Linked DNA regions of Oryctolagus cuniculus. The protein of the gene in region 4 purifies or fractionates together with the protein of the main gene of each other region. This does not show direct contact. Links are inferred from orthologs where the notes say so. Each region holds a gene or a part of one and is shown on either strand. Other genes may lie near its edges. The genes, in order: PRKAR1A, AXIN2, AKAP11, GSK3B, YAP1, GSKIP and PRUNE1.

Region 1 (3,893 bases), on a different chromosome or scaffold from region 4:
GAGAGAGAGGTCTTCCATCCTCTGGTTCACTCCTCAATTGGCTGCACTGGCCAGAGCTGTGCCCATCCAAAACCAGGAGCCAGGAGCTTCTTCTGGGTATCCCACATGGGTGCAGGGGCCCAAGGACTTGGGCCGTCTTCTGCTGCTTTCCCGGGCCGTAGCAGAGAGCTGGATTGGAAGTGGAGCAGCCGGGACTCAAACGGGTGCCCATATGGGATGCCAGCACTGCAGGTAGCAGCTTTATCCATTACTGCTGGCTCCTGGGTAGCTTTTTTTCTCCCATCTCTACAGAGTACCTTTTTCTTATAATTAAACCAGGTAAACTGTAGGCACTCCTAATTCACTTAACTGTCAGAACTCAGCCGTCAGCTGTTTTAACCTGCTGTGTACCAAGAACATAATATGTTGTGTTTTTTAAAAATGAAGTTTAGGATTCTGACCTTTTAAAAAGGTTTGAGGATTTTTAATACTTAGATATTTTTGTATATAGGGAAAAAGCATTTTGTTTATATCAATCATTTGCTTTTAGGTCTATGTCAACAACGAATGGGCAACCAGTGTTGGGGAAGGAGGGAGCTTTGGAGAACTTGCTTTGATTTATGGAACACCTCGAGCAGCCACTGTCAAAGCAAAGACCAATGTGAAATTGTGGGGTATTGATCGAGACAGCTATAGAAGAATCCTTATGGTAAGAGACCATGGTTGGTTTTTTTTTTTAAACATTCTGGTCTCTGTGACTAATGTTTGAACAATATCACCAAATGAAAATGAGACCATTCCTTACTTTTAATGATGGAATATTTTACATTAGACTCAGTTTAGCATTATTCATTATGCCATTTGAGACAGTTATATTTTGGCCAGAAATAACATGAGAAACAAAATGTCTACATGTAAAGATTAATTTATGTTAGAAGCTGATAGGCACATCTTAACTGATTTTACCCAGGTAGCCTGATGGGTGCTGCTTTTCAGTCACGAAGTCACCTAAGGCCAGACTCCCTACACTGTGGGGGTGTTGGCACTCAAGGGCATGTTGTGGCTTTTACTGGAGGAATAGGCAAAATAATACAACAATGGGAATGTTAGACGCTGAGTTAGTCACATGTTTTGAGAACATTTTAAGTTTATACTGAGTAACTTCGGGTGTTTAAGACCCAGCTAGTGACATCCATAACTTTGAATGGTTTTCTGGAGTTTGTGCAGTGCCCATGTGGCCATTTAAAAGTACAGTTTGATGCACTTTGCAATTTTTTGTATTCAAGCCCCCTAGGATACTTCATCATCCCCTGGTGCCCATGGGGGATTGGTTCTAGGCGCTTCCCCTGCCCCCGCCACCTCAGATACCAAAATCTTCAGATATTCAAGTCTTACATGAAATGGTGTAGCGTTTGCATGTAATGTATACCCGTCCTGTTTCTTCAAGTCATCTCTGTTATTGGGCATAAGGTTACTTAATGTAGATGCTATGTAATAGTTACACTGTATTGTTCAGGGGATAATGACAATAAGAAAAAGTATGTTTCAGAAAAGGTTTTTAACGTTTCTTAATATATATGATCTGCTTGGATCTGCAGAGGGAAGGCCAGCTGTGTTTACATATGTGTTTATGTGTGTAGGTTTATATGTTTTGGTGGAGGGGGTGATGGGTGCTAAGGCAGTTTACCGAGTAAGGGAAGGTTGTTTTAGAAGACTGTATCTGTCCCCTTCTTCATTCCCCCCAGTCTCTGCCAATAAGAAAACTTGATTTAGTTTGGGACTATGGGGCATTCTGGGGGGAGGGGTTGTATAAGCAGTGGTACTTACTTTTCTTTTGTCTATGGAGAAGTAGGGTTGTAGGGCAGGATTCTAAGCTGGAAATCACTTATTGCTTGGTGGGTTTTTGGAGAACCGATCATTTGCTTATTCGATGTTTCACTAATTGGTAGTGCTCTGCAATTTCTTTTTTTTTCTTTTTTTTTTTTTTTTTTTTTGACAGGCAGAGTGGACAGTGAGAGAGAGAGACAGAGAGAAGGGTCTTCCTTTGCCGTTGGTTCACCCTCCAATGGCCGCTGCTGCAGCCGGCGCACCGCGCTGATCCGATGGCAGGAGCCAGGATCCAGGTGCTTTTCCTGGTCTCCCATGGGGTGCAGGGCCCAAGCACCTGGGCCATCCTCCACTGCACTCCCTGGCCATAGCAGAGAGCTGGCCTGGAAGAGGGGCAACCGGGACAGAATCCGGCACCCCGACCGGGACTAGAACCCGGTGTGCCGGTGCCGCAAGGTGGAGGATTAGCCTATTGAGCCGCGGCGCCGGCCTGCTCTGCAATTTCTTTAATCATGTACCTGGTTTTTTTTTTTTTTTTTTTTAAGATTTAATTTTTTGAGAAGCAGAGATAAAAGGGGAGGGAGGGAGGGAGGGAGGAAGAGAGAGAATGAGAGAGAATGAGAATGTACTTCACTCCCTGATTCACTCCCCAATGGCTGCACCGCCAAAGCTGGGCCAGGCTGAAGCCAGGAGCTTCCTCCGGGTCACCCGTGTAGATGCAGGGGCCCAAGTACTTGGACCATCTTCCGATGCTTTCCCAGGCACATTAGACAGGAGCAGCCGGGACTCAAACTGGCGCCCATATGGGATGCCAACACTGCAGGTGGAGGCTTAACCCTCTGTGCCACAGTGCTGGCCGCAGCTGGTTTCATTTGAAGAGCAAAGCTTTTACAGAGTGTGGGCCTGTCTTCAGCTTGAAGTAGAATGAAGGTAAATAAACAACATCAACAAGCTTTGGCTTTTCTACTTTTTAAGTTGATTTGAAAGTTAATATTTGTCACTTCATTATCTGATATTACACCTTTTGGGGATGTGAGTTCTGTTATCTTTTTCATTTACAGGGAAGCACACTGAGAAAGCGGAAGATGTATGAAGAGTTCCTTAGCAAAGTGTCCATTTTAGGTGAGTTCTGGTGAAGAATTTTTAAATCCATGATAGTGATATTCAGGAGAACCTGTTTTATAAAAATTCTAGTTATTTGTTTTTGTTTATTCATAGTAATGAAAAACACCTGGAATTTTTGACAGCATTGAAAGTTTGACTAAATTAAAGGAATTTAAAAAGTTGTCTTTGGTAGTGTGTGACAAACGCTCCACTAGAAATGACTGGTCGTGGGAGGAGCTTCCCGAAGGCGTAGGTGCTTCTCAGTCTTGCCGAGGAGAGAGGGAGGCTGAGCAGATGTCCCATCACGAGGTCATGGTTCTGCAAAGTGTTTGCGAGCGTCCTTTGAAAAAATGACAGACTTTTGTTGAAATTTCGAGTGAAAAGCAGATTAATCGGAGATATTTCTGTAAGTTTGTGATGTGGACTCGGGGTGTTGTTGAGCCTGTTCTTGAGAAGGCGACATGGTGATTTTCATAAGGTAACAGTCTTCTGCCACTGTTTTGTTATAATGAGTTGTTTGGTTTTTTCCCCTCCTTTGCCTTTTCTTTGAAATAGTTACATTTGCTTAGAGTCTAAGGTGTGAATTTGGCCTTTGGTAACAAGTTATTTTCAAGCTCCTTGTAGTTGCACAGTAAATTCAGCTGAGAATTTAAATAGGTAAGGCATTTCTGCAGTCTGTGGAATAATATGGATATGTCATGGTAGGTTTGACTTGCAGTGATGGCCATATTCAGGAATACTTTTTCATCCCATTTTCTTAGTCCTTTGCAACTGGGTACAGTTGTTAAACCTGGCCACAGGGCTGCTGAAGTAGAAATATAAGGGCCATCTGCAGGTAACCCGAGAACCTGCTGAGAGCAGAGGTAATTGAACACAGGTGCCATGTTTAATCTGCAACACCTTTAGATGTTGAGTGAGCATGGCTGTTTGGCTGAATCTCTTTATGCTTTTTGTTTTAAAATTGTTAGCACTGAATAATAAAG
Region 2 (3,893 bases), on a different chromosome or scaffold from region 4:
GGGTGGAAATGGTGTGTGTGTGTGTGTGTGTGTTATACCAAGAAACGCTATTATTTTCCAAGCTTGTAAATTCGAGGATTTTGTCCTGGGGTGTGCAAATTGACTTTCTCCCCATCAGCGCGCAAAGCCAGCCTGTGTGAGAACCGGCCACCTCCTGCTGGGGGTGGGGAGGGGGCTCTCTCTGCCCCCTCGGGCTGGTTCTGCAGCTAAGCGGTTGCCCGGGCGAGGCCCCTCTTCTGCTGGGGCTGGCGTTCTCTCCACCCCCCGGCCCCCAGAAAAGGGCGAAGCGGGCGGGAGATGAGGAGGAAGGAGGCGAGCCGCCGGGAGGGGGGCGGGGCGGGAGATGACAGAGAGGCGGCGGCGGGGGTCCGCCCCGCGTGCTGCAGTTGGCAGGCGATGCGATCGCGGGGCCTCTTTATATTCCGCACTTGATTTGGAGATGTTCCCTGTTCCCTTGATGGCTCAACTTCAGGCGGCCGAGCGCAGCAGTGGTCTGCTACTAGCCTGCAGCAGCTCTCTTCATTTTCCGTACAAAGAGATGGGGAGGAGGGGAGGAGGGGAGGAGGAAGGCGAGGGAGGCCGAGGCCAGTGTGGAGACAACAGCACCTCAGAGGTGCGCAGTGTGCGGCCAGGAACGAATTACCGCTGCTTCTCTGATCCGGGCCTGCCGACACTCTCTCTTTTTTTTTTTTTTTTCCTATTCCCCCCGCCCCCACCTCCTTTGCAATCTTACTTTCTTTAATTTCCAACTCCCCTTCTGTTTAGACGCTACTTTCTATTCCTTGAGTTGCTCTCGCTCCCCTCCCCATCTCAGAGGGCTGCTTTTTTTTTTTTTTTTTTTTTTTTTTTTTGATGTCTGACAACAGTCTTTGAAGATTGTCTACTTCAGAGTAGCTACTGATGGGCTGGTTGTACTACAGAGGGAACAAGCAGGGCCTCTCGGAGTGCGACCAACTGCTCCTGCCCAAGGCAAACGCTGGTGGGGACCATGGCTCTCCATGAGGCCGCGGCGCCGCCGCATAAAAACCCCGACAGCCCCGGCCGCCGCGCCAGCCGCTCTCCGCCCCGGCACGGGCGCGCGGGTTCCGGCAGCTCCGGCCTGCTAAGCGCGCCCCGTCCCTGTGCCTCCCCGCGCCCCGCAGAGAACCCACCGCCTGCCCAAGGAGATGACGCCCGTGGAACCCGCCGCCTTCGCGGCCGAGCTCATCGCCAGGCTGGAGAAGCTGAAGCTGGAGCTGGAGAGCCGCCACAGCCTGGAGGAGCGGCTGCAGCAGATGCGCGAGGTAGGCCCGCGCGGTGGCCCTCCAGCGCTGTGCGTGCGTGCGTGCGTCCATCCCGTGCGTGCGTGCGTCCATCCCGTGCGTGCCTGCCCACACGGCCCCTCTGCGCCATCCCGTTCCAGGACGAGGAGAAGGAAGGCTCCGAGCCGCCGCTGAGCGCGCGGGAAGGCGCGCCCGCCCAGCACCCCTTGTCCCTGCTGCCCTCCGGCGGCTACGAGGAGGACCCGCAGACGATCCTGGACGACCACCTGTCCAGGGTCCTCAAGACCCCCGGCTGCCAGTCGCCCGGCGTGGGCCGCGCCAGCCCCCGCTCCCGCTCGCCTGACCACCACCATCACCACCACCAGCCCTACCACCCCCTCCTCCCGCCGGGGGGCAAGCTGCCCCCCGCGGCCGCCGCCCCGGCCTGCCCACTGCTCGGGGGCAAGGGCTTTGTGAGCAAGCAGACCACGAAGCACGTCCACCACCACTACATCCACCACCACGCCGGCCCCAAGACCAAGGAGGAGCTCGAGGCCGAGGCCACGCAGAGGGTGCGCTGTTTGTGCTCCGAGTATTACTGCTACTGCAAGTGCAAGAGCCACCCCAAGGCTCCGGAGCCCGTGCCAGGAGAGCAGTTTGGGTAAGTGCCAGGCGGTCTGCGGCAGCCCGCGTGGAGCTGTTCTCCCGGCCAGAGGCCTGGGCAGGGGTGAGGCGGGGTCCGCGGCCACAGGCGTTTAGCGCCGGGGGAGGGGGTGCAGGTGCATGGGTCTGTCGCGTTCCCGGCCCCTGCTCGTGCGGTTGTCCCATTGGAGGAATCAGGGGAAGTAATGAGGGTCTCTGGGTTGGGTGTGGGTCTTGGTTTCCTGCAGTGGAAGCAGAGGCAGTACCTTGCCCAAACGAAGTGGGAAAGGCACGGAGCCTGGCCTGGCCCTGCCCGCTAGGGAAGGAGGGGCCCCCGGCGGCGCTGGGGCCCTGCAGCTGCCTGGAGAAGAAGGAGACAGGTCGCAGGATGTGTGGCAGTGGATGCTGGAGAGTGAGCGACAGAGCAAGCCCAAGCCCCACAGGTAGACGCTGCCGCCCCCGGTCACGGACACGCACGCGCGGGGGTCTCGGGGATGGCTGTTTTCACAGTTGGCTGAAAACAAGTGCGACTGTTTGCTCCTGCCATCTTAATATTAAACGTTGGACTTGGGCAGACCGCAAAAATGTCATGTTTTGGCAGCCACTCCCGTTCGTGTTATGGTAGAGTTATTTTTTTCTTCTGCCTCTCTCTCTCTCTCTGAGCAGAATAGACAAGTTTCTATTGAAGTCACATTTTCCAGTTTTTCTAACCCAATTTCTTCCCTTCTACTTTCTCTCTCTGCATCGTTTGTTCAGTGCCCAGAGCACAAAAAAGGCCTCGCCCATGGAGTCTGCTCGCGGGTCCCCGGGCGAACGGGTCAGCCGGCACCATCTGTGGGGGAGCAGCGGGCACCCCCGCACCGCCCCCCGTGCCCACCCCTTTACCCAAGACCCTGCAGTGCCCCCCCTGACCCCACCCAACACGCTGGCACAGCTGGAGGAGGCCTGCCGCAGGCTGGCTGAGGTGTCGAAGCCCCCCAAGCAGCGGTGAGTGGGAGAGAGGGGGTCCGCGCGGGATTGGAGGGGAAGGGGGCACCCTTCTTTCCTGCCTGGGTCTCAGGCCCTCCTGGAAGCAGGCGTTGCTTCTGGCCGACTAAGATTCGCCCTGCAGCCTCTGGGCGTGGGTCCCACTGCTGTGCCTGACTTGAACCCGGATTCAGGAGCATACACTTGAATAATTCCTTACACACCCCATTCCTTATAAAACCTCTCGGTCCCTGGGGGCTGCTTAGCTGAGCGTGTGGGAAACTGGCTGGGGAGATGCAGGAGTCTTTAGCCCTTGGCGTGGGCTGAGGATGTCCTGTGCAGGGTGCCCAGGGGGCTTGCAGCAGCTGTCCCCAAGTGTCATCCAGGCCTCCTGTAGCCCCAACGAACACAAGGCCTTACTGGGTCTTCACAGGGATGGAGGTTGGGTCCGTTTCTCTTCCTGAGGCCAAAGAGAGTGTGTGTGTGTGTGTGTGTGTGTGTGTGTGTCCGTGTCCCCTGTAACCCTGGGGGTGGCCACACCTCTAAAGCCCTCCCCCTGGCTGTGTCCTCAGGTGCTGTGTGGCCAATCAGCAGAGGGACAGGAACCACTTGGCCGCTGGTCAGGCAGGAGCCACGCCCTTCTCCAACCCCAGCCTGGCCCCCGAAGAGTGAGTGTCTCCACTGCCCGGTACTGCTGAGATCCGCTGAGTGGTTTGCGTTTCCGGGTGTGCCCTGTCTGGAGCTGCGTCTGCATGAAACGTTGTGGTGTCTAAAATCCCATCAGTTTGGCTGCCAGTGGTGAGGGCCAGTAAGTGCAGGTGTTGGTCCTCGGTGAGGAGCATGGAAACCCACGGGTACTGAGCACGGCCTCGCCGCACAGACTTCCCTGGGCGCGCGCACACACACAGCAAATCAAAAACCGGAACTCGAAGGCGCGTCCGCAGACGAGGAAGAGGGACCCCAGGTCCAGTGGCGGAGTTGCCCCCACTTAGCTTGGAAGTCGGCGGTACTCCAGGCCCCACCTTTGCAGAAGCTGAGAGCTTG
Region 3 (3,893 bases), on a different chromosome or scaffold from region 4:
CCATATTTAATCTCTCTTCTGATCGATAATCTCGGTCACCATCAAGATAACAACTGTTCTTCCTCTGCCTAAAAAGCATGCAACTTCTAGCTTTTGCAATTTTCTCAGCTTCTGTAATGACTTCTGTTGCCATATCACCTGCAAAACTGCACAATGTTTGCAAATTTTCAGCTGAGCAATTTAAAAAAGTAGGCGATGCATTTCTTTGACTCTGCACATCCAAGTAAGCACATTTACCCTTGGGTTCTTGAGTTATTTTATTATCTAAGTGGGAAGCTGCCATTTCAGTTGCCACAGAAATGATGTGTGTAGCTAATCCGTCGGCAAATTGAACTTTCTTCCCCAAGTGCTCTGACTTCACATCCAATTGTGGGTGCTCTTCATCTTCACTGCCTTCAACTTCTTCTGAAAGAGACCGCATGAGTTTCAACATGAACTCTTCTTTCTCTATGGTATTTTGTTCATTTTCAGACAAACTACCAACAGATGAGTTGTGAGGGGTGGAAGGTGGTGTAGCAGGTGCAAATTCTTTGGCTAATTCACCCTTCAGCTTTTTGGTTAACTTCTTAATATCCCACTCAGAACTGGCCTGGGATGGTAGCAGAGGAGTCGATGGAGGAGTGTCAGGTATTACATTTCTGTCTCTGATTTTTGGCTTGTCTTCCACATGAAAGCCATCTACACAGGTAAGCACTGAAGACGAGAAAGCATGTGAATGAGGAAAGGAATTTTCCTGTCCAAAAGTCAAGGGCTCAAGTGCTGTATTCTTCACATTATGCTTTTTCACTGTTTTATCCTTAGCAAGTTCTGTCAAATCAAGTTTCTGACCTGCCATGGTTGGATAAGTTGGCAGTGTCTCCAAAGGAAATCCATGAGCCATAGAACCTTTATGTTCTAGAACACATTCCTTTCCAACTGAAAGTGAACAGTCAGTCAAGTGATCTTGAACATCAAGAAATTTGGGGAACTTCTGGAAAGTCAACTGTAATTTTTCTCCAGGAATTGGTATGCCTTCCTTACATACGGTTTTATCTCTATTTGGGGTCACTGATTTGCTTTCATCTATGGAATGTTTAATAATAGATTTAGATAAACAGTCAGCAAACATGTCCCTACTGCTGATTTCACTCTGTTGCGACGTTGCTGGTTCACAATGGGACAAAGGAGAAGCTCTTCCCTCTACTGCTTTATTTAAACCACCTGTGTATTCACCAACTGGTTCTGTAACTTCAAATGATGCTACTGACTCTAAGGTTTCATTTACTAATGTATGTGCCATTGCTGAAGAAAAGTTGCTAATAATCACAGGATCACTTGTTAATTTTGAAGAACTCTGCATTTCAACATCATCATTAGCTGTTTTAAAATCATTCTGGTTAGGAGGATTGTGTTCTGAAGGCAAACAAATATTTCTTAGACAAGCTACTTCTTCTCCTTTGCTTTTTGTGGCAACATTTGCTGAGGTAGAATCACCATTTGAATTACTACCATCAGAGGACAGAGGAGACTTCGCCTGACATACAGATGAAATATGATATGGGAGAAGGGCACTTCCTGCCAAGGGCACTGGTATAGAAGTAACAATTCCAGAAGTACAAAACAAGGCCTGCTGCACTGTGTATTCCTTCTTATAGTCCTGTGTTGGTTTCGTCACCAGAGTTGCTTGGTTGTTGAAAGGAGAAACTGTGAAGGTCTGTGTCAATGGCACTACGCTTTCTGCACTCACATACTTGACATTATCCACAGAAACACTAACTGCTGCCTTGGTTGCGAAGGTCATATCAACTTGTGATAGTTCAATGAAGGCTTCCTGTATTACAGATTCAGACAAATCTCTTGCATACGACTTCACTACTTTGTTTTCAAAGTCAAATGACTTACATTGTGGAGATGCAGGTGTTGGCGGATACGAAAACTGACACACTTCCATGATGCCTTCAAAAACAAGCTCTTCAGCAAGATCTGCAGCAAACCTAGCAACTGTGTTTGTGAATATCTGCTTCTTTACATACTGTAAATCTTTTAAGGCATTGGCTAAAGCTTCACTCACCAAAAAATTAGCCAGGCTACTAATGGCACGTTCTTTCAGTGAAAATGCACGTTGTCTTCTCAGTTCATTAAATGCCATCTGAAAAACGGATGACGTCAATTTGATGGCTAAGTGGCACAAGGCATTGGTACACGAAGAGAGTCCTTTCTGCAAATCTTTAAATGCACTGCCCAAACTTTTTTCCACAAGGTCTGCTGCAAATTTCTGAATACTATCTTTAATCATTAATGATTTGTTTTTAGATTTACTTTGCTGGTCAAGGTTTCCATGCTTAAGAGCTACAGTTTTACTTTCTCCCCTTTTAATAACATTGATGTTTGATAGTGAATGACCGTGATGGGTATGAAGAACCGAGTCCAGCACTCCACATGAAACACTATCTGCATAATCTTCATAGGCGTAATAAATGGAATCATGATTCTCATGAAGCCTATCTCCTCCACCATCTGTTTGGCAGAAACATTCAGCAGGGGTACAGCCTCCAAGGGGACTAAAAGCAGAGGAACGAATAGGACTGAACAAACCACTGTCTTCTCCTGAGGCCTTCACTGGGCGAGGAGAATCTGGAGCATCACACGGATTGCCATATGGAGATTCTGGCTTCCGAGGAGTAGGCTTTCGAACATTAGCCGGCAGGGCCGGACGATCGAACTTTTGAGGATTCATACAAGACTTTTCAAGTTTGTGCGCTTTCTTTTGTGATGACTTTCCTATAGCAGGATCTTTTATAAACAGACAAGAAGTCTCTGAGGCTTGCTCTAGTTCATCAAACTGATCAAAACTATCAAAAAATTCACTTACTTCTGAGTCTGAATCTTCAATATCATCTTTCATCACAGGAATTTTAGGCAGCTCAAGTTTAGCCTTTAAACTTTTTTGATATCCTTCTTCATCCAAGAAAATCACAGGACTTGGGCTTGAGCATTCTGATTCAGAGGAGTAAGCAGGTGAAGAAGACAAAAAGGTTTTCTGTATGTCACTGCCTTTCTCAGCAGCTTTAGAAGATCTGTAGAAACTCCTTTGGATCCAAGGCTCTGAAATTGGTGTTGTGACTGAAGTTTTCACAGAAGGTAGTTCTTTATGTTCCAGAACATTTATTAAGGAGGTTGAAGGTTTAGTCAATGACTTCTGTTGTCCAGAACTAACCAGAATCCTTAAATCGTGGTTTTCTAAATGGTGACCAGAAATAGTCTGAGAAGCAGCATCACACTGGCTCCTTAATGCAATAACATTTATTCCTAAATGAAAAGAAATATTTCTATATTATTCCTTGCAGAGAAAGTTTAAATTTTTTTTAGAAATTTAAATCAGTAGAATAAAGTATGAAATATTTACTCCAAATGTGTCTTCTAAACTATGTTAACAAAAAGATTCATCCCAAGTAATACTTGAAAGCAAAATACACCCTTGACTATAACATCATTTTACCCTGTCTGTGGTATTTGGTCTACAGAATGGTTGGCATACTGTCACACATGTTAGAAACATACTAGGGTAGGTCTGCCAGCTAACTCTTCTGAAATCTGAACCTAAGCATGTTCCAGACACTGACGATAAAAAGGTAAACAGTGCTTGAACAGTAAATCCTAAAAACAGAAATAGCAAAACTGAAATCCAGTTAACAATGAACTTAAAAATCATAAGAAAATTAAGTCTTCAATCAGAAAAAAGGAGCTAAAACATTTAACTGGACCAAATTTCAGCTGAACAAGTCTGCCTTAAAACTTTCAAAACTGCAGTCTAAACTTTAAATCCCTAGTTTAAGAAAAAGTCTAGCAAAAGAACAAACCATCAGTATACAGTTTTGAAGTCTCTTCTTCCTCTAAGTGCTCAAAAGCTGTGA
Region 4 (4,451 bases):
TCACCGTCCTTAACTCTTTAATGCTTATTCGCGAGGGCGACGACTGTGATTGGCCCCTGTTGCCCTCGTCTAATTTGTCCTCCAGCCAGCCACAGAACAAGCCGAATCCACCTTCTTTCCGTTCGGATGCCTTCGGCATTTTCCGCTCTCTAGGCGAGGCTTCCCGGGGGCCCATTCTAATTGGCTCTTCAGGCCGATCGGCTTTTTCCGGGAGGAGCCGTAAAGAAACGACGCCCGTGATTGGCTTCGCTGGGGGTTCGGCTCCGCCGCCGAAGAGGGCGGGCGTTGGGCTCGGCCGGCGATTCCCAGACGCCTGTTACGCGGGCGGCGGGGCGCGGGGCGGTATAAGGCTGGGTGGGGGAGGAAGGAGGCGGAGGACGAGTAGGAGGCGGGGAGAGGGAGGGGGAGGGGGGAAGGCGCTAGGCGGCTGCGCAGACGGAGCTCCTCACACAGAGCAGCCCCCGACCCGGGCGAATGCGGGTTTGTGCTGCCGCTGCCGCTGCCGCCGCCGCCGCCCGGGCCGAGTGACAAAGGAAGGAAGGAAGCGAGGAGGAGCCGGCCCCGCAGCCGCTGACAGGGCTCCGGACTGGGGGCACAGCACGGACACTTCCTCAGCGGACACGGAGCTGAGGCGCGGGGCGTGAGGGCGGCCGCGCTGGTGCTTTGGACGGGGGAGGGGGCCCCGAGGGAGACGGAAGCGGTTGCCGGGTTCCCATGTCCCCGGCGTATGGGGAGCAGTCGAGGAGCCGCTGCCTGGGGTCTGAAGGGAGCTGCCTCCGCCACCGCCGCCGCCATGGCCGCTGGATCCAGCCGCCGCCTGCAGCTGCTCCTGGCGCAATGAGGAGAGGAGCCGCCGCCGCCGCCCGCCTCTGACTGACTCGCGACGCCGCCGCCCTCCAGGACGCCGGGCCCCCGCCGGATCCCGCCGCTGCCGGAGCCGCAGCGTTTCCCGTCGCATCTCCGAGCCGCCCCCTCCCTCTCCCTCCCTCCTTCCCATCCCCCCTTCTCTTCAAGCGTGAGACTCGTGATCCTTCCGCCGCTTCCCTTCTTCATTGACTCGGAAAAAAATCCCCGAGGAAAATATAAAATCCAAAGTACTTATTTTCAATCAAGTATTTGTCCCCATTTCACGTGATTTTTTTTAAGGAGTCCCCCCTCCCAGGAAAGGGAGGGGAAAGAATTGTGTTTTTTTTTTCCCCTCCCCCAGCCCCAAATCATCTATATGTTAAATATCCGTACGGATCCGTCTTGAAGGAGAATACATCGCTCGTGTTTTTTTTTTTTTTTTTTTTTTTTTTAATATAGCTATACAAAAGAAGTGAAAAGCCAAGAGGACGAAGTCTTTTTTTTTCCTTTCTTGTGGGAGAACTTAATGCTGCATTTATCATTAACCTAACACCCCAATATAAAACAAAAGGAAGAAAAGGAGGAAGGAAGGAAAAGGTGATTCGGGAAGAGAGTGATCATGTCAGGGCGGCCCAGAACCACCTCCTTTGCGGAGAGCTGCAAGCCAGTGCAGCAGCCTTCAGCTTTTGGCAGCATGAAAGTTAGCAGTGAGTATTGATTTTATTTTACACCCCTTCTCCGTCTCACCCCTAAAATAAGCAACCTCGAAGTCCTAGAACCTTAACATACTAGACCTGATGGAACACTCACCAGAGCTAATGGAAAAGAGCAAGACCTGTCTTCAGTCGAGGATGAGGCAGCTCCCTCTTTTCTCCTCCCATAACCCCCTCCCTCGGTCTCATTAACCTTGAGTTCAGAGAGTACGATTTTTATTTCGATGATTCGATTTGAAACGTTTCTTGTGCTTTCCTTGCTACTGATGGTCGCCTTTATCCAGTGCTTGGGTGTTTCCACTTGGAAATTGTGATGGAAGCGTTTGCTTGCCGACCCTTTTGAATAAAGAGGACTAAACGACTCATAAACCATTATGTGCATTTGCAGAGTGTTTGTCTTTTGGAACGAGGGAGGAAATTCTGGTTAGCTCAAGTCTCGGGTTATCACAGCTTTGTGTACTTCATGGAGACATGAAATGTCCCAGTCTCCTAACGTTTCTCTTCGTGCTGGTGTAACTATACAAAGTATTTGTTCTTAACCTGGGGATGAACTTGCTCAGTAACCAGCATTCATGTGTGGAGGTGATCATCGCTCCCTCCCTTTACAAGGGGCTGATGGGAACAGATAAATATCCAGCAGCAGTAGCATCTCCAAATACATTGTCTTGAATTGGATAAGTGGTTTAATCTGTTATCTCTTAACCTTCCTGTTTTGGCATTACCAATCTGCCACCATATAATTTGTTTAATCAAAAGGTAACTTGGAAGGAGGTCCAAGTTTTGATTGAGGCGTATGTTGTCATAATGCCAGATACTAAGTTAAATGTTAATTGTCACTGACTCATTGTCATTTAAGTTCAATTTTGACGTGCTGTTGCATTTGTTACTTGTTAAAATATTCTAGAGTACAGAGGATTCCTTTTTAGGAATACTTAAAATATCCTTGCATCAGTTTTCTTGTAGATAAGATTGAATTTAGTTAGAGGAACATAGATTTAGTCCTTTCCATCATAGTTTTTGCAGAAGGTTGTCCTTCTGGAAATGGTAGGGCTGTCTGGGATGTGGTCTCAGGGTTGTTACCAGACTGTACTTTCACAAAGTCTGTTTTCTTGAGGTGTTTGTTATACTAAGTATCCAGTGATCCCACAGAGCTCTGTTTGTGAAGGGGTTTGTGTGGCAATTAATGGCAGGTTATTTAAATATACTTCCAGATTTTGACAAAAAAAAATGTTTATATTGTTTCCTTATTCTCTGAGAAAGGGGCATGAAGAGGGCAAACTATTTTGTTGCCTAGAGGAGCTAAGAGAACTGAAGAGCCTTAAACAGTAGATTCTGTTATGTGGACTTGATTACATCCTTAAGCAATATAAAATGTTTACTTTTAATTGAACTCAAGATTCCAATCACTTTGGCTTTTGGAACTTGCCTGAAACAGGATAGTCCAAGGTAATAGCTGAATGGGAGATTATTTTTGAGTTAATTTTTTTTTCAGTGACTAGCTAGTAGAGAATGCAGAGTATGTAAAGAGGGAAGCTGATTATGCATCTTTTTAGAGAAGGGTCATGCTTTCTAAGCCCTTCATGGGGTCATTTGAAAGAAGTTTTTTATTCTGGGGGTAATTTTTAGCTATGATGAAGCAAATATTACAATAGCTAATTAAGAGCCTCTTGTGATACTGCAGTGATTGTATGTTTTACATCTTGGTAATAATTAAAAAACACTGAAAGTCAGTTTTAGGAATATAATTATTAGATGTATTTCAGAGATCTATAATGCTAGTGTATAATGCTAAATTCTGGGATTTTATATTTTGTTTCTAGGATTTTCTTTGAAGATGACTCCTTAATTCTTGATGGCATACATGTTGACCAAGAATGGTGTGATTTTTGTAAAGTATGTAGGTTAAAATGTTTGATTTTCTGTTATCATGTCCTTCAACTTAATATTTAAAAAGTTGGAATTTATTGCTGAATATGCATTTTTGATAAGCCTAGCTTTAGGGATATTTAGAAGAAAGGGGAGTCATTAGGCATTTGTTAGGTGCTGGTGTTTTCAGGACCCATGTTCAAAAGAGATACATATGAAATTATAGTCCTTGGCTTCAAAAAAAGCTGGTCACTTAGTAGTAGAGGCAATTTATGGGAAAAACAATGAAAACAATGGCATTACGACTGCAAGGCAAAATACAAATTGAATCCTTTGTTCAGAGGGACAAAGAATAAAGGGGTGAGACATGCATTGGAGGGAGAAGGCTTCCTGTAGAGAAGGTGTGCTTTTAAGACAGGTGTTAAAGAAGGCTGTGTCTTGAATTGGTGGAGAAGCATGAAAGATTCTAGGTGAAAGGACTCCAGGCACAGAGATGGTGAGTTTTGTAGGAGAGGCAATAAATAAGCTGGTAAATCTGAATTATAAAAGCCTAAGTAGGAAAATAACAGGTAAAATTTGAGAAATATTGGAAGGATAGCTGACAGAGGGCAAGGGGTCTGAAAAAGTTTGACATTCATGAGAGCTCTGAACAGTTTTTTTTTTTTATAAACTTTATTTATTTTAATTTTATTGGAAAGGCAGAGAGACAGATCTTCTCATCTGCTGCTTCACTCCACAAATGGTCACAACAGCCAGGGCTGGACCAGGCCTAAGGCAGGAGCTGGAACTCAGTCTGAGTCTTCCACTTGGGTGGTAGAAACCCAAGTCCTTAAGCTTTCATCTGCTGCCTCCTTGGATGTGCATTAGCAGGAAGCAGAGGAGCTGGGACTAGAACTGGCCCTGCCATGTGGGATGTGAGTTGTACCAAACACCCACCCCTGAACAAGGTATTTGAAGATGATTTGGGCAGCTAAGTTGAATTAGAGTAGAACTATATTAGAGCCCTTTAGGGAGATGCTAGTGTAT
Region 5 (3,893 bases), on a different chromosome or scaffold from region 4:
TGCCATTATTATTATTATTATTATGGATTTATTAGTTTGAAAGGCAGATTTAGAAGAGACAGAGATCTTCCATCCACTGGTTCACTCCCCAAAAGGTTGCAATGACCAAGGATAAGCCAGGCCAAAGCAGGAGCCATGAGCTTCATCTGGGTCTGTCACATGAATGGCAGAGACCCAGATACTTGGGTCATCCTCCACTGCTTTCCCAGGCACATTAGCAGGGAGCTGGATTGGAAGTAGAGCTGCTGGGGCTTGAACCAGCACCCATATGGGATGCCAGCATCACAGGCAACAGCTTAACCCACTACACCATAACATGGCCCCCAGATTTGCCTTCTTGTTAACATCTCTAAATTACCTTTCTTTTGTAAGTCTGAATAGTTTGCTCTGCATTGTCTGTTGATAATAGAAATTCAGTTACTAAAGCAAAATAAAAATTTGACAGCTTTAAACAAGCATTCTGGCAAAATTCAAGGTAGCAAGAACATTGAAAGTCTAGTCTACACCAGATGATTTGTTTTAACCTCATAAAACGATCTTGGGAAAGTGGAGATTTTATGAAAAGGCATAGAATAAAAAATTGTGAAAACAATATGAAAATTTTAACTAAGTTATTTAAATATTTAAATATTTTAAGTTATTTAAGATTTATGGATTAGTGTCAAGTACTTTGTGCTGAAAAGAGTTCAAAGTTAGACAAACAGAAATGTGAACATATCTTCCTTAATAAAAATCAATGATGGCGGGACGGTTAGCTTAGTGGTTAAAATGCATGTTGGGATTCCCGCATACCCACATCTGAATACATGAGTAAAGTTCCTTGCTCTGTTCCTGATTGCAGCTTTCTGCTAACGCGGATCCTATGAGGCAGTGATGATGTCTCAAGTAACTGAGTTCCTGCCTCCCAGCATTGGCCCCCACCCAGTTTCAGCTCTTGCAGATGTTTGGGGAGTAAACTAGGAGATGAATCTGTCTCTCTCCTTCTCCCTCCCTCTCCTTCTCTCTTTCTCTTTGAAATTTAGGGGGCAAAACATATGAAGATCTTCAAGATATTCTCTAATATTCCCATATTTTGAAGGATGCACAGTTTTGTCACAGAAACTGTACACCATCCTCATCCAGAGATTATAATTTTATACATTCTAAAGTTTATTGCTAAATACATCCTTGTATTTTAAGAGAAATACAGATTACTCAAAGTATTAGAAGTCATTTTATGCTCTAAAACAGTTCATTCCTTCACTGTGCCCTTAGGGGTACAGCAGAAATAAATAATTACAAAATCGTGTGATAAATGCTGGGATTGTGTTACATGTGCTAAGGGTGTGAAAGGCATGACATCTTTATGTCTAATCCCATCTCAAGATGGAAATGGAGTTATCATGGGGAGTTACTTAAAGAAGGTGGTGTCTTCACTAGGTCTTAAATAATATGGAAGAAAGAAAAAGTATTCTAGGCCAGAATAGCATGTGAAAGAAAAAGGTATGGTATTCTGAGAAAGTGTCATCATACAGACCTTCAGGGAGTAAACTGTCAATTGTCACTTCTCACTTTGCAAGATGAGAATGGGAGAGTTCAAAGAGACATGATAGAGAGACAGAAAAAAGACAGTAGTGATGAAGGTGTTAGGGTTTGGTCCGAGTGAGATGAACTGACCTGTGGGTCCTGGGCAAGTATAGTAACTGAGGTCTGGGTTATCTCAAAACCTGCTGAGGCAAATCTTGTAGTGGCCCATAGCCTCTGCTCAGGTTCTAGGTGGAATCCTGCTGAAAAATTTGGAATGTCGCTGAAGAAATTTTACCCTATTTTAAATCCTATGATTATAGTGGAGGGACTTTGGGTTCATGTTTTTATGTTTGATGCCTTTTTTTTTTCCTTCTCCTCTCTCCCTGCTAGAGGATAAAACACTCTAACTGAAGATAGAAAAGCCTGAAGTCAAAATGAGACACTGGATATACCAAAGTGGAAAACAATGTTGGGGGTGAAGAGGGAATTAGTATCTTACAGTAAGACCAGACTTGCCCTTCTACCCCAAAGGAGAATTTGGTAGTATAGGCCATATTAAGGAAAATATCAAAATGAAGCTAAGTACCAAAGTGTATATGTTTTGGGGTTAATATAACTCAACAAACTTTCAAATTTAGGCAACTTAATTTTTAATCACTTCAATGGATAGAAGAACTTGATCACTCTGATTGGGAAGTATGTTATTTAAAATAGATACTACAACTTTGTGTACACAGTTACCCTATTAAACATTAATTCTTTAAACCTAACAAATTTTTAAAGGATATATTATGTTTATGTTGTTGTTTTTTGTGTATGTTTGTTTTTAAAGGAATTAGCTCTCCGTAGCCAGTTACCAACACTGGAGCAGGATGGTGGCACTCAAAATCCAGTATCTTCTCCTGGGATGTCTCAGGAATTGAGAACAATGACAACCAATAGCTCAGATCCCTTTCTTAACAGGTTGGTAAGAGATGCTACTGTCTAGTATCTGAAAAAGATTGTAAATTTAAGATCATGTTGCTTAGTGCTTATAATAGGCTGTTTTGAACATGTATGTGAGCTAAAAATTATAGCTGTAAATAAATTTCTCCAATAAAAGTTCAGGATTAAAAGCCATTTTCTACAGGAAAAAGTGAGCTGTTGAGACTTGTGAGGAGGATACTTACTCAGAGTCACAGCGTGTTTGCTTCTGCCTGTACTGTTGACTAACAGTTACTTAGAATTACAAAATCATGAAGGAACATGTGCATGCTTCTCTATGAAATCAAATGAACTGTATCATAAATCCACTTTTGCATTATAAAGATCATTAGAAGGGATTTTCCACATAGGTGTTCAACCCGAGAGCTTTTACAGAGCATCATTTTAAGGCCTCGTGTTCTCAAGAGCCATAGTTCAAGGAGATAATATGTAAGGTTGTACCTTTTTCAAAAAATGCATTAAAATGAATGGTAGTGTTTGAAAATGATATAGCTTAAGGATACTTCTTAGTTACCACAAATCTTGGATTTCAGGAAGATTGTAATGGTATTATAAACTGCTGTTGAAAACTGCAAGCTGGGCTGGCGCCAGGGCTCACCTGGCTAATCCTCCGCCTGCAGCACCGGCACCCCGGGTTCTAGTCCTGGTTGGGGCGCCGGATTCTGTCCAGGTCACGCCTCTTCTAGTCCAGCTCTCTGCTGTGGCCCTGGAGTGCAGTGGAGGATGGCCCAAGTGCTTGGGCCCTGCACCCGCATGGGAGACCAGGAGGAAGCACCTGGCTCCTGGCTTCAGATCGGCGCAGTGATGGCCATTTGGGGGGTGAACCAACGGAAGGAAGACTTTTCTCTCTGTCTCTCTCTCACTGTCTAACTCTGCCTGTCAAAAACAAAAACAAAACAAACAAACAAACAAAAAAAAAACCCTGCAAGCTGCGACAGGTCATATTCTTTGCCTAGAAAGCCATTTAAAATGAAGATGTGGGACAGGCATGTTGGCTCAGCAAGTTAAACTGCCACTTACAACACCTGTATCCTATACTAGAGTGCCAATTTTGAGTCCCAGCTACTCCACTTCAGATCAGCTTCCTGCTAATGAGCCTGGGAAGCTATAGACGATGGCTCAAATTCTTGAGTCTCTGCCACCCACATAGGAGACCTGGATGGAGTTCCTGGCTTTGGGTTTGATCTGGCCGAACCTTGTCTGTTGTGGCCATTTGGGAAGCAAGCCAGTAGATGGAAGATCTTTCTTTCTCTCCACCTCTCTTTCCCTCCCTTTCAAGTAAATAAATAAATCTTTTAAAATATTAATAAAATTAAGATGAAACTAAAATTCCTATCTATAGAATTTCAGTTTTTTAAATATGAAGATATATGTATTTCCCTTTGTAAACTGATTTTAGGCAA
Region 6 (4,364 bases), on a different chromosome or scaffold from region 4:
ATAAGCACCCAGCCACCCCCTTAACCCGATCCGTTCAAACTTCCAAACGTATAGTCTCGGGTTGTTACTTCAACATCCACCCGAACCCCTGGCTCCAAGGAAGAACCACAGCAGTGGACACTGACAGAGTACCAGGCATTAGCGCTTACGGAAAGCGGCTGGGCCCATCGCGGCGGCCTGGGGTGCCCCGGGACCCTTCCCACCTGCAAGCCCTCCCCTCGCTGATACAGTCACATCTCAGCCCGGAGCAGGGAGGCTACAGCGCTCAGTTAGCAGGGGAGGAGCCGCTGCGGTCCGGTCCAACCAGCCGGTGAGCACGGTCAGACACCGTGCCCCGGACGCAGGGACGCAGGCCAGCGCTTGGGCGCGTGCAAACACACACCAAGCACCCGCAAGACACAATGAGTCAACTCGGCCTCCGACGACCAGTGGAGAACCGGCTTTAAAATGTCTGAAAAGTGCAGCCTCAGCGCTTTTGCAACACCTGCTCTTACGATCTGTCACGTGAAGCCAAAAGGCACGCACACTGTCCGTGTAAACATAGCCTGGTACAAAGGCGTGCAAGCCGGCGGACGAGGCCTCCCCCGCTGTCCCCCGGGCCGGACGCGGCGTGCCCGGGGGCCTCGGCATCCCACGGGTCCCCCTCGCCTTTCCGGAACGCTACGCCGCGACACGGGGTCTGCTGGCCGTGGGACCCCCGATCCGCGGCCCAGACCGCCCCCGCCGCCCGCCCTAACTCAAGCACTCCCCCAGCGCAGGCTCCCATCTGTCCGCTCGGTTTCTGGAACACGTGATGTCCAGCACTCAAAACACGTTTCTCCGGGGCCGGCCACACGCGGGTCCCCAAATCCCGGGGGGACGGCACCGAGGAGGGGCGCGGGGCCCGCCGCCCGCAGCTCTTACCCATTTGTCCAAGGGGACCTGGGCGAGGGACCCGGTGCCCTGGTACAGGTCCAGGCTGAGCTGCTCCAGGCTCAGCTTCTCCTGCAGGAAGTGGCCCAGGTACCTCTGCAGGAGGTACCGACAGGCCCTCTTCTTGATGGACTCGGAAAACGGCCACGGCATGGCGGCGGCTGAGGGCGGCGGCGGCGGGGCCCAGGCTCCGGCTCCGGCCGCGAAGGCGCTCCGGGGCCCGGCCGGCGTCCCCGGGCCGCGGCGGGGCCTAAGCCCGGCGCGGCCCCTTCATGCCCGCTCACCGCCGGGCGCCCTCAGGCCGACGGCATCGCCCGCGCCGGACACCGGTCGCAGGCCCGGCAAGGACCCGGCGCAGAGGCGGCCCCGGCGTCCGGGGCAGGGACTCCCGAGGGGATCCTCCTCGGCCCGGACACGGGAGCGCGCGACAGGAGGCGGCTGACACCTCCTCGGCAGCCGCGCGACGAATTTGTTGTCATCCACGAAGCGCGCTCCCGAGCCTGGGGACGCTCCCGGCGCGTTCGCGAGAGCCCAAGGCGCCTCACGCGCACGCGCGCGGCCGGGCGCAGGCGGAAGTGACGCCACACTGGGGGCCGAGGGAGGCGGGAAGAAGAGCCGGGGCCGGAGCAGTTCCGGCTCCGAGGGGGCGGTGCCGCGGGCCGGCTCCGGCGGCCTCCCGAGGGAGGAAGAGGAGAAGGCGGGCGAGCGCAGGTGAGCGGGCGGCGGCGGCGGCGGGGGACTCAGGGGAACGGGCGGGCCGTGGGGCCGCCCGGACGGGGGCTGCGGCGCGGCAGGCCCGAGCTGCGGGGCCGGCAGGCCGAGAGGGGTCGGGCGGGCCCGGGTCGTCGGGGGCCCCGGGCGCGGCGGCTCGGAGCGCCGCTGTCTGGCTGGGGAGGACCGGGGCGCCCCTCGGGCCTCCGCGCCCGCCCGCTGGGCGCCGAGGGTCCGCCCCCGCCTCCTCAGGTATTGTTCCCGGAGCCGGCCGGCGGCCGGCGGCGCGCCGAGCTCCTCCGGGGCGTGTGGCACCAGCGACCGGGAAACTCGGGAGTTGGAGCATCTGCGGCCAGAACTGCCGCCTCGGGTCGACGGCAGGGCCCGCTGACCGCCGGGGACCCGCGCTGGGGTCCCGGGTCGGCGTCGTGGCCCTGGTGCGCGCCTGCGACCGCTCGGCCCCGGGCTCGCCGAGCCTCCTTCGCAAGGGGGAGGGTATTAACGTGTCTTAGTCCGAGGATGATCGTTAGGAAGGTGAGCGGACGTGAAGCCCTGACACCCGTGCACCTGCCGTGGGGTAGTGAATTCGCGGGGCTGAGGACAGTGCTGACCGTCTCGGTAACTGTTTCGCGAAAGCCTTGGAAGCACTAACAGAGCCCCGAAGCGTTGGCGGATGGGGAGAGGTTGCGTTCCCGTCCACGCTGGCTTCTCCGCGTGGGGACCGTGCGGCCCCCGGGGTCCTCGGTGCCCCTCCCTGTTGTAGACTCAGCCCGAGTGTCCTCAGTAGCGACCCTTCCCTGGCGCCGCGTTCGTGGGGAAGCGCTTACCGGGGGTCCAGAGAGTGGAAGTCGGTGCAGTTCCGTGTGCGAAGATCAGAGCGTCCCGGGAGCTGCGGTTCTAAAGTGTGGATGGGGGGGGCGGGGGTTCACTCAGTAGGAAACGTTTACTGGCTGCGCGCCAAGTGCCGGGGACACCACGGTGGGACAGCGAAGTCTCTGCTCTCATGGAGCCCTTTGTTGAAGGGAGGGGAAATAGGTAACAGCGTGCCATGGGGCGGTGAGCGCTGTGGCAGGGAAAGACAGCGGGCGGGGCAGAGGCGAGAGGTTTGCCTGTCTTGCCTCGGACGGTGAGAGAAGGTGTTCTCCAACTAGGTGACATTTGGCAGAGACGTGGAGAATGCAAGGTGCACAGGTGTTTGGAGAGTTGGTCTCCCCACACGGGGGAGGAGCGAGCGTGATGGTTGAAGGGGAATCGTGAGTAAAATAGGAAGAAGAGACTGGGAGGAGGGACGGGAAGTCTTGCAGGGTTCTGGGCCTTTGGCTCTCACTCTGGCTGAATGGGAGGGTTGAGGAGAGGAGTGACATCCTCTGGCCTCAGTTTGCAGGATCCTGCTAACTGCGGTGTTGAGAATAGGCTGGCGTGGGGGTGGGCGGGTCCAAGGTGAACAGAGCGAGACCAGTTAGGACGGTGTTGCAGTAATGCAGGCGAAAGATGACGGTGGCTTGGACCAGAGTGGTAGCAGTGAAACCTGTTAGAAGCAGTTAGGTTCTGGATATTTGTTGAAGCAAATAGGCTCCCTAAAAGCAGAATAAAGAAAATGATATGAAAAGTCAAAGGTGGGGGCCTGCCTTGTGGTACAGCAGGCAGCCCATTGGGTGCTGCTGCTCCACTTCCAGTCCAGCTCCCTGCTAAGGCACCTGGGAAGGCAGCGGAGGACTGGGCCCCTGCACTCACATGGGAGACCTGGAAGAAGTGCCTGGCCTGGCCCCAGCTGTTGTGGCCATTTGAGGAGTGAACCAGTGGATGGAAAACCTCTCTCTCGCTCACTCACTCTCTCTCTCTCTGCCTTTCAGATAAATAAATAATAAAATGAAAATTGGGCTCTCATCTGAGAGGGCAGTAGAATAGGCCTTGAGAGCTTTGAACTGGGCTTCTGACCTAGCAATATGATTTGGACTTACTTCCGATGACTTAAATACATGGTTTCTTTAGCAATGTAGAATACATTCAGACTGTCAACGGATGCTTGCAATTTCACTTATCAGAAAGGAAAATTAAAATTGAAGGTTTTTTCCATTTAAAGTGTTAAATGCTTCCTTGTGCATTTTATGCTTTTCAGGAGAATTTCAACATAATTTTTTTTTAATTTTCTTTATTTATTTGAAGGGCAGTGTTAGGGAGATACAGAGAGAGATCTTTCACCAGCTGGTTGACTCCCCAAATGGCTGAAATGCTTAGGGCTGGGTCAGACAGAAGCCAGGAGGCTGGAACTCCATGTGGGTCTCCCACGTGGGTGGCAGGGGCCCAAGTGCTTGGGCCATCTTTGCTGCTCTCCCATGTACATTAGCAGGGAGCTGGTAAGAAGTGGAGCAGCTGGTACTCAAACCAGCACTCATATGGAATGCCAGTGTTGCAGACTGTGGCATAACTCTGTGCCACAACGCTAGCCCTAAGATAAATGTTAAGGTTTGGGACCAGTCATTATTATCCCTGTAGCCCAAACAGGACACAAACTCATCCCCAGACACAGTGCTATGTTTGTGTTTATGGAAGACAGAGTACCTAGCACAAAATATTAACACCTGACATTGATTGAGGTAGATGAGAATAATTAATTACCCAACCACATTTTGTCAGCTTTTTAAGAATTATATTGAAGAGTTTAAAGTGACAGAGTAGAAGCTATACATCAGAAGCTAAATAGGTCACTTCAGAACAATCATCCTTCACCATGTTAGGTG
Region 7 (3,893 bases), on a different chromosome or scaffold from region 4:
CTCCTCCTCCTCCTCCTCCTTCTCCTCCTTCTTCTCCTTCTCCTTCTTCTCCTTCTCCTTCTTCTCCTTCTCCTCCTTCTCCTTCTGCTCCTTCTTCTCCTTTCTTCTTTTTTTTTTCCTTTCTGTGGGGATGTTTTTGATCGTCATGACTGAGGGTGCTGTCAGCATCTGGTGGGTAGAGACCAGGGATACTTCCAAATATCCTATAATGCACACGACAGCCCCTCCCCAACAGAATTATCTAGTCAAAATGCCAGTGATGCTAAAGTTGAGGAGCCCTGCTATGTGAGTCGTTTTGTTTCTCAGCCTATCCTCTCTCAGAAGCAGGCAGAGATAGAAGTTCAGAAGTAAACTAATAAGAAGGAATTGTCTTCTGAGCTGAACTGTAGGCTTTATGGTCTTACTCCACCAGCAAAATGCTCACACGGAGAATGAAATAATTCGTTCACCCTGCCTTGGGGTGGTATTTGCCCTAACTGTTAAGATGCCACATGGGACGCCTCAATCCCATATTGGGGAGCCTGTGTTTGAGTTCCAGCTCTGTGCCCAATTCCGGTTTCCTGCTAATACACATCTTGGTAGACAGCAGGTGATACATCAAGTAGTTGGGTCCTTGACATCCAAGTGGGAGACCTGGACTGAGTTCTCAGGTCCTAGCTTTGGCCTGGCCCAGCCCGGGTTGTAGTGGGCATTTGGGGAATGAACCAGCATATAGGAGACCACTTTCTGTTTGTCTGTCTCTGTCTCTGCCTTTCAGATAACTAAAACTAAATAAATTTTTTAAAGTATCTGCCTCATTGAGTTGTTTTAAGGATTAAATGATTAGTTAATGCATGTAAAAATATTGTAATAATACCTGGCACAATCAATAAATGTTTATATATACATATATTTTTAAAGATTTATTTGAAAGATAGAGTTATGGAGACAGAGAGGGAGAAACAAAGAGAGAGGTCTTTCATCTGCTGGTTCACTTCCCAGATGGCTGCAATGACTGGGGCTAGGCCAGGCCAAAGCCAGGAGCCAGGAGCCAGAACCTTCATCTGGGTCTCCCACAAGAAGGACTTGGTCCATCTTCTGCTGCTTTCTGAGGTACATTAGCAGGGAGCTGGATAGGAAGTAGAGTACCCGGGACTCGAACCGGCGCCCATATGGGATGCAGGTGCTACAGACGATGGCTTAACCTATTAGGCCATAATGCCGGCCCCATCAATAAACATTTAAAACAAAAAGCAAAATCCTATTTCTGGGATCAGTCCAGCCCAGTCCTTGCAGCCATTGGGGGAGTGAACCAGTGGATGGAAGACCTTTCCCTCTATCACTCTATAACTCTACCTTGCAAATAAATAAATCTTAAAAAAAAAAAAACAACTCTGCTCTTGTAGACACTGTGGTATTTTAAGACTTGATAGCTGGGGAGATCGTTGCAAGGGAACAAAGTTAATAATAGCAGATATCCCTCCCTCCTCGGAGTTCTTATCAGCAGCTGGGATTTTCAGAAAAAAAAGTTCCAGCAGTAGCATGTGTTCCTGCGTTAATCCGAACCTGCTGGGGAAAGCGTCTGTTCTCGGGCTGTGCGAGGTATTTGGTTATACGTAGTTATCATTAGGCCTGCTCAGGGCAGTGGGCGTTTTCTCAGACAACCAAAGGACTAGATCTATTTTTTAACCTCTTTGCCCATTTTTTGACTGATTTATTGAAATTTTTAAAAATTTATTTATTGGGGCTGGCGCTATGGCGCAGCAGGTTAAAGCCCTGGCCTGAAGTGCTGGCATCCCATATGGACACCAGTTCTAGTCCCGGCTGCTCCACTTCTGATCCAGCTCTCTGCTATGGCCTGGGAAGGCAGTGGAAGGTGGCCCAAGTCTTTGGGCCCCTGCACCCTGTGGGAGGCCCGGAGGAAGCTCCTGGCTCCTGGCTTTGGATCAGCACAGCTCCAGGCGTTGCAGCCATTTGGGGAGTAAACCAGCAGATGGAAGACCTCTCTGTCTCTACCTTTCTCTGTAACTCTGTCTTTCAAATAAATAAAATAAATCTTTTTTAAAAAATTATTTATTTGGAAAGGCAAGGTTACAGAGAGGCAGGTTGGGAGAGAGATCTCGCATCCGCTGGTTCACTCCCCAAATAGCTGCAGGCTGAAGCCAGGAGTCAGGAGCTTCCTCCAGATCTCCTATAAGAGTGCAGGGCCCCAAGCACTTGAGCCATCTTCTGCTGCTTTCCCAAGCTCATTAGGAGGGAGCTAGAGTAGAGGTGGAACAGCCAGGACTTGAGCTAGTGCTTATATGGGATGCTGGCATTGTTGGTGGCAGCTCAACCCATTGTGCCACAACACTGATCCATTTTTTTCTTTTTAAAAAAGATTTATTTATTTGAAAGACAGAGTTACAGAGAGGCAGAGAGAGAGAGAGAGAGGTCTTCCATTCGCTGGTTCACTCCCCAAATGGCTGCATCGGCTGGAACTAGGTAGATCTGAAGCCAGGAGCCTAGAGCTTCTTCTGAGTCTTCCACGTGGGTGTAGGGACCCAAGCACTTGGGCCATCTTCTACTGCTTTCCCAGGCCAGAGCAGAGAGCTGGATCAGAAGTGGAGCAGCCAGGACTCGAACTGGTGGTCACATGGGATGCCGTCACTGCAGGCAGTAGCTTTACCTGCTATGCCACATGGGCTGTCCCCTATTTTCATGACTTAGAGGTGTAAGAATTCTTTTTCCTGCTTTGTAAATGGGGATGGAAGGGACAAACAAGGACTGTTATGCCTAAGAGTGTTGCTGGAATATATCACCTATTCTAAATGGCCTACTTTTGACTATTTTGGTGTCCAAAGAAGCACAAGAAGTCAGAGGATTATTTACTGCTCTTCTGTAAGTCAAATTTAGTAGAGAGGAAAGAAGACTTTCCCAGTAACTGGGTGTGTATGGGATGTTACAGTGTGGCTGAAACACTTAGCCCTGCCTGCTAGGATGCTGAGGTCCTCTCAGAAGACGGTCTGAGCCCCCTGCTCCATGAAGCTCGGGGAGAGGATGGGAGTGAAGCCCTCCCTGAGGACGGGAGGATAGGGTGCGCGGGAATAGATAGGGACGCCGCTGCTTCCCATTCTTCTCTCCCAGGAGTCCCGACCTCTCCATGTGGTGCTGGGAAATGAAGCCTGTGACTTGGACTCCATGGTGTCTGCTCTCACCCTGGCTTTTTACCTGGCAAAGGTGAGTACTGGGCGCTGAGTCCCTTAGGACGAACAGATGTGCATTCAAGACCCAGCTCTGCCACTTAGCGGCACTTAGCCTTGGGTAAGCAAAACCCCTTAACTTTACTGAGTCTCATGTCACCGTCTATAAAATCTGAAATGAGAATATTTTACAGTGTTGCCATGAGGAACAAACAAGCAACTATATTTTGAGGGGTTTATAAACTATAAGGCAATATTTAAACAGTGTATTATTTATTGAGTTCCTTATGGGTATCAGTTATCTAGTGTGTATTCTTCTTGCCCAGGTTAGCTCTTCAGAACCACAAATCCTGTCTCTGTAGCACTGGGGTTTTTTCACTGCGATACCTTGTTGACTTTCTTGTCATTGCTAAGCTGGAGGGAGGGCAGGTCACCCTTTCGTTTTTATAGACTGGGTAATTGTGACTGAGAAAGGTGATGACTTAGCAGGGCCACATCTTTTGGTGTCAGTGGCCTTGTTTCCTTCTGTCATCTTTTGATTTTTCTACCCAGACGACTGAGGCCGAGGAAATCTTCGTGCCAGTTCTAAATATAAAACGTTCTGAGCTACCTCTGCGAGGCGACAACGTCTTCTTCCTCCAGAAGCTTCACATTCCAGAGACTCTCTTAATTTTTCGGGATGAGATTGACCTCCACGCGTTGCACCAGGCTAGCCAGCTCAGCCTTGTCCTT

The links.
Region 1: the proteins of GSK3B (region 4) and PRKAR1A purify together in Homo sapiens (affinity purification with mass spectrometry; 3 studies listed by BioGRID and IntAct, with this or other methods). This does not show direct contact. The link is inferred for Oryctolagus cuniculus from reciprocal best matches to the Homo sapiens genes GSK3B and PRKAR1A.
Region 2: the proteins of GSK3B (region 4) and AXIN2 purify together in Homo sapiens (affinity purification with mass spectrometry; 9 studies listed by BioGRID and IntAct, with this or other methods). This does not show direct contact. The link is inferred for Oryctolagus cuniculus from reciprocal best matches to the Homo sapiens genes GSK3B and AXIN2.
Region 3: the proteins of GSK3B (region 4) and AKAP11 purify together in Homo sapiens (affinity purification with mass spectrometry; 4 studies listed by BioGRID and IntAct, with this or other methods). This does not show direct contact. The link is inferred for Oryctolagus cuniculus from reciprocal best matches to the Homo sapiens genes GSK3B and AKAP11.
Region 5: the proteins of GSK3B (region 4) and YAP1 purify together in Homo sapiens (affinity purification with western blotting; 3 studies listed by BioGRID and IntAct, with this or other methods). This does not show direct contact. The link is inferred for Oryctolagus cuniculus from reciprocal best matches to the Homo sapiens genes GSK3B and YAP1.
Region 6: the proteins of GSK3B (region 4) and GSKIP purify together in Homo sapiens (affinity purification with mass spectrometry; 10 studies listed by BioGRID and IntAct, with this or other methods). This does not show direct contact. The link is inferred for Oryctolagus cuniculus from reciprocal best matches to the Homo sapiens genes GSK3B and GSKIP.
Region 7: the proteins of GSK3B (region 4) and PRUNE1 purify together in Homo sapiens (affinity purification with mass spectrometry; 5 studies listed by BioGRID and IntAct, with this or other methods). This does not show direct contact. The link is inferred for Oryctolagus cuniculus from reciprocal best matches to the Homo sapiens genes GSK3B and PRUNE1.

The regions. Positions count from the first base shown.
Region 1 is NC_091448.1:11,145,794-11,149,686, reverse strand, and holds part of PRKAR1A (cAMP-dependent protein kinase type I-alpha regulatory subunit), read left to right. Parts: intron 1-529; coding exon 530-688; intron 689-2,867; coding exon 2,868-2,928; intron 2,929-3,893. UniProt on the Homo sapiens protein: Regulatory subunit of the cAMP-dependent protein kinases involved in cAMP signaling in cells.
Region 2 is NC_091448.1:11,836,572-11,840,464, reverse strand, and holds part of AXIN2 (axin-2), read left to right. Parts: intron 1-1,142; coding exon 1,143-1,283; intron 1,284-1,402; coding exon 1,403-1,902; intron 1,903-2,131; coding exon 2,132-2,326; intron 2,327-2,639; coding exon 2,640-2,870; intron 2,871-3,421; coding exon 3,422-3,517; intron 3,518-3,893. UniProt on the Homo sapiens protein: Inhibitor of the Wnt signaling pathway. Down-regulates beta-catenin. Probably facilitate the phosphorylation of beta-catenin and APC by GSK3B.
Region 3 is NC_091440.1:61,455,454-61,459,346, reverse strand, and holds part of AKAP11 (A-kinase anchor protein 11), read right to left. Parts: coding exon 3,840-3,893; intron 3,289-3,839; coding exon 1-3,288. UniProt on the Homo sapiens protein: Binds to type II regulatory subunits of protein kinase A and anchors/targets them.
Region 4 is NC_091435.1:76,547,784-76,552,234, reverse strand, and holds the start of GSK3B (glycogen synthase kinase-3 beta), read left to right. Parts: upstream 1-1,414; 5' UTR 1,415-1,465; coding exon 1,466-1,553; intron 1,554-4,451. Other genes in the region: transcription factor SOX-4, read right to left, coding at 70-1,053. UniProt on the Homo sapiens protein: Constitutively active protein kinase that acts as a negative regulator in the hormonal control of glucose homeostasis, Wnt signaling and regulation of transcription factors and microtubules, by phosphorylating and inactivating glycogen synthase (GYS1 or GYS2), EIF2B, CTNNB1/beta-catenin, APC, AXIN1, DPYSL2/CRMP2, JUN, NFATC1/NFATC, MAPT/TAU and MACF1.
Region 5 is NC_091432.1:93,679,083-93,682,975, forward strand, and holds part of YAP1 (transcriptional coactivator YAP1), read left to right. Parts: intron 1-2,338; coding exon 2,339-2,469; intron 2,470-3,893. UniProt on the Homo sapiens protein: Transcriptional regulator with dual roles as a coactivator and corepressor. Critical downstream regulatory target in the Hippo signaling pathway, crucial for organ size control and tumor suppression by restricting proliferation and promoting apoptosis.
Region 6 is NC_091451.1:40,752,453-40,756,816, forward strand, and holds the start of GSKIP (GSK3B-interacting protein), read left to right. Parts: upstream 1-1,515; 5' UTR 1,516-1,623; intron 1,624-2,774; exon of another isoform or gene 2,775-2,799; coding exon of another isoform or gene 2,800-2,876; intron 2,877-4,364. Other genes in the region: ATG2B (autophagy-related protein 2 homolog B), read right to left, coding at 904-1,065. UniProt on the Homo sapiens protein: A-kinase anchoring protein for GSK3B and PKA that regulates or facilitates their kinase activity towards their targets.
Region 7 is NC_091438.1:47,077,163-47,081,055, reverse strand, and holds part of PRUNE1 (exopolyphosphatase PRUNE1), read left to right. Parts: intron 1-3,105; coding exon 3,106-3,198; exon of another isoform or gene 3,199-3,282; intron 3,283-3,713; coding exon 3,714-3,893. UniProt on the Homo sapiens protein: Phosphodiesterase (PDE) that has higher activity toward cAMP than cGMP, as substrate. Plays a role in cell proliferation, migration and differentiation, and acts as a negative regulator of NME1. Plays a role in the regulation of neurogenesis.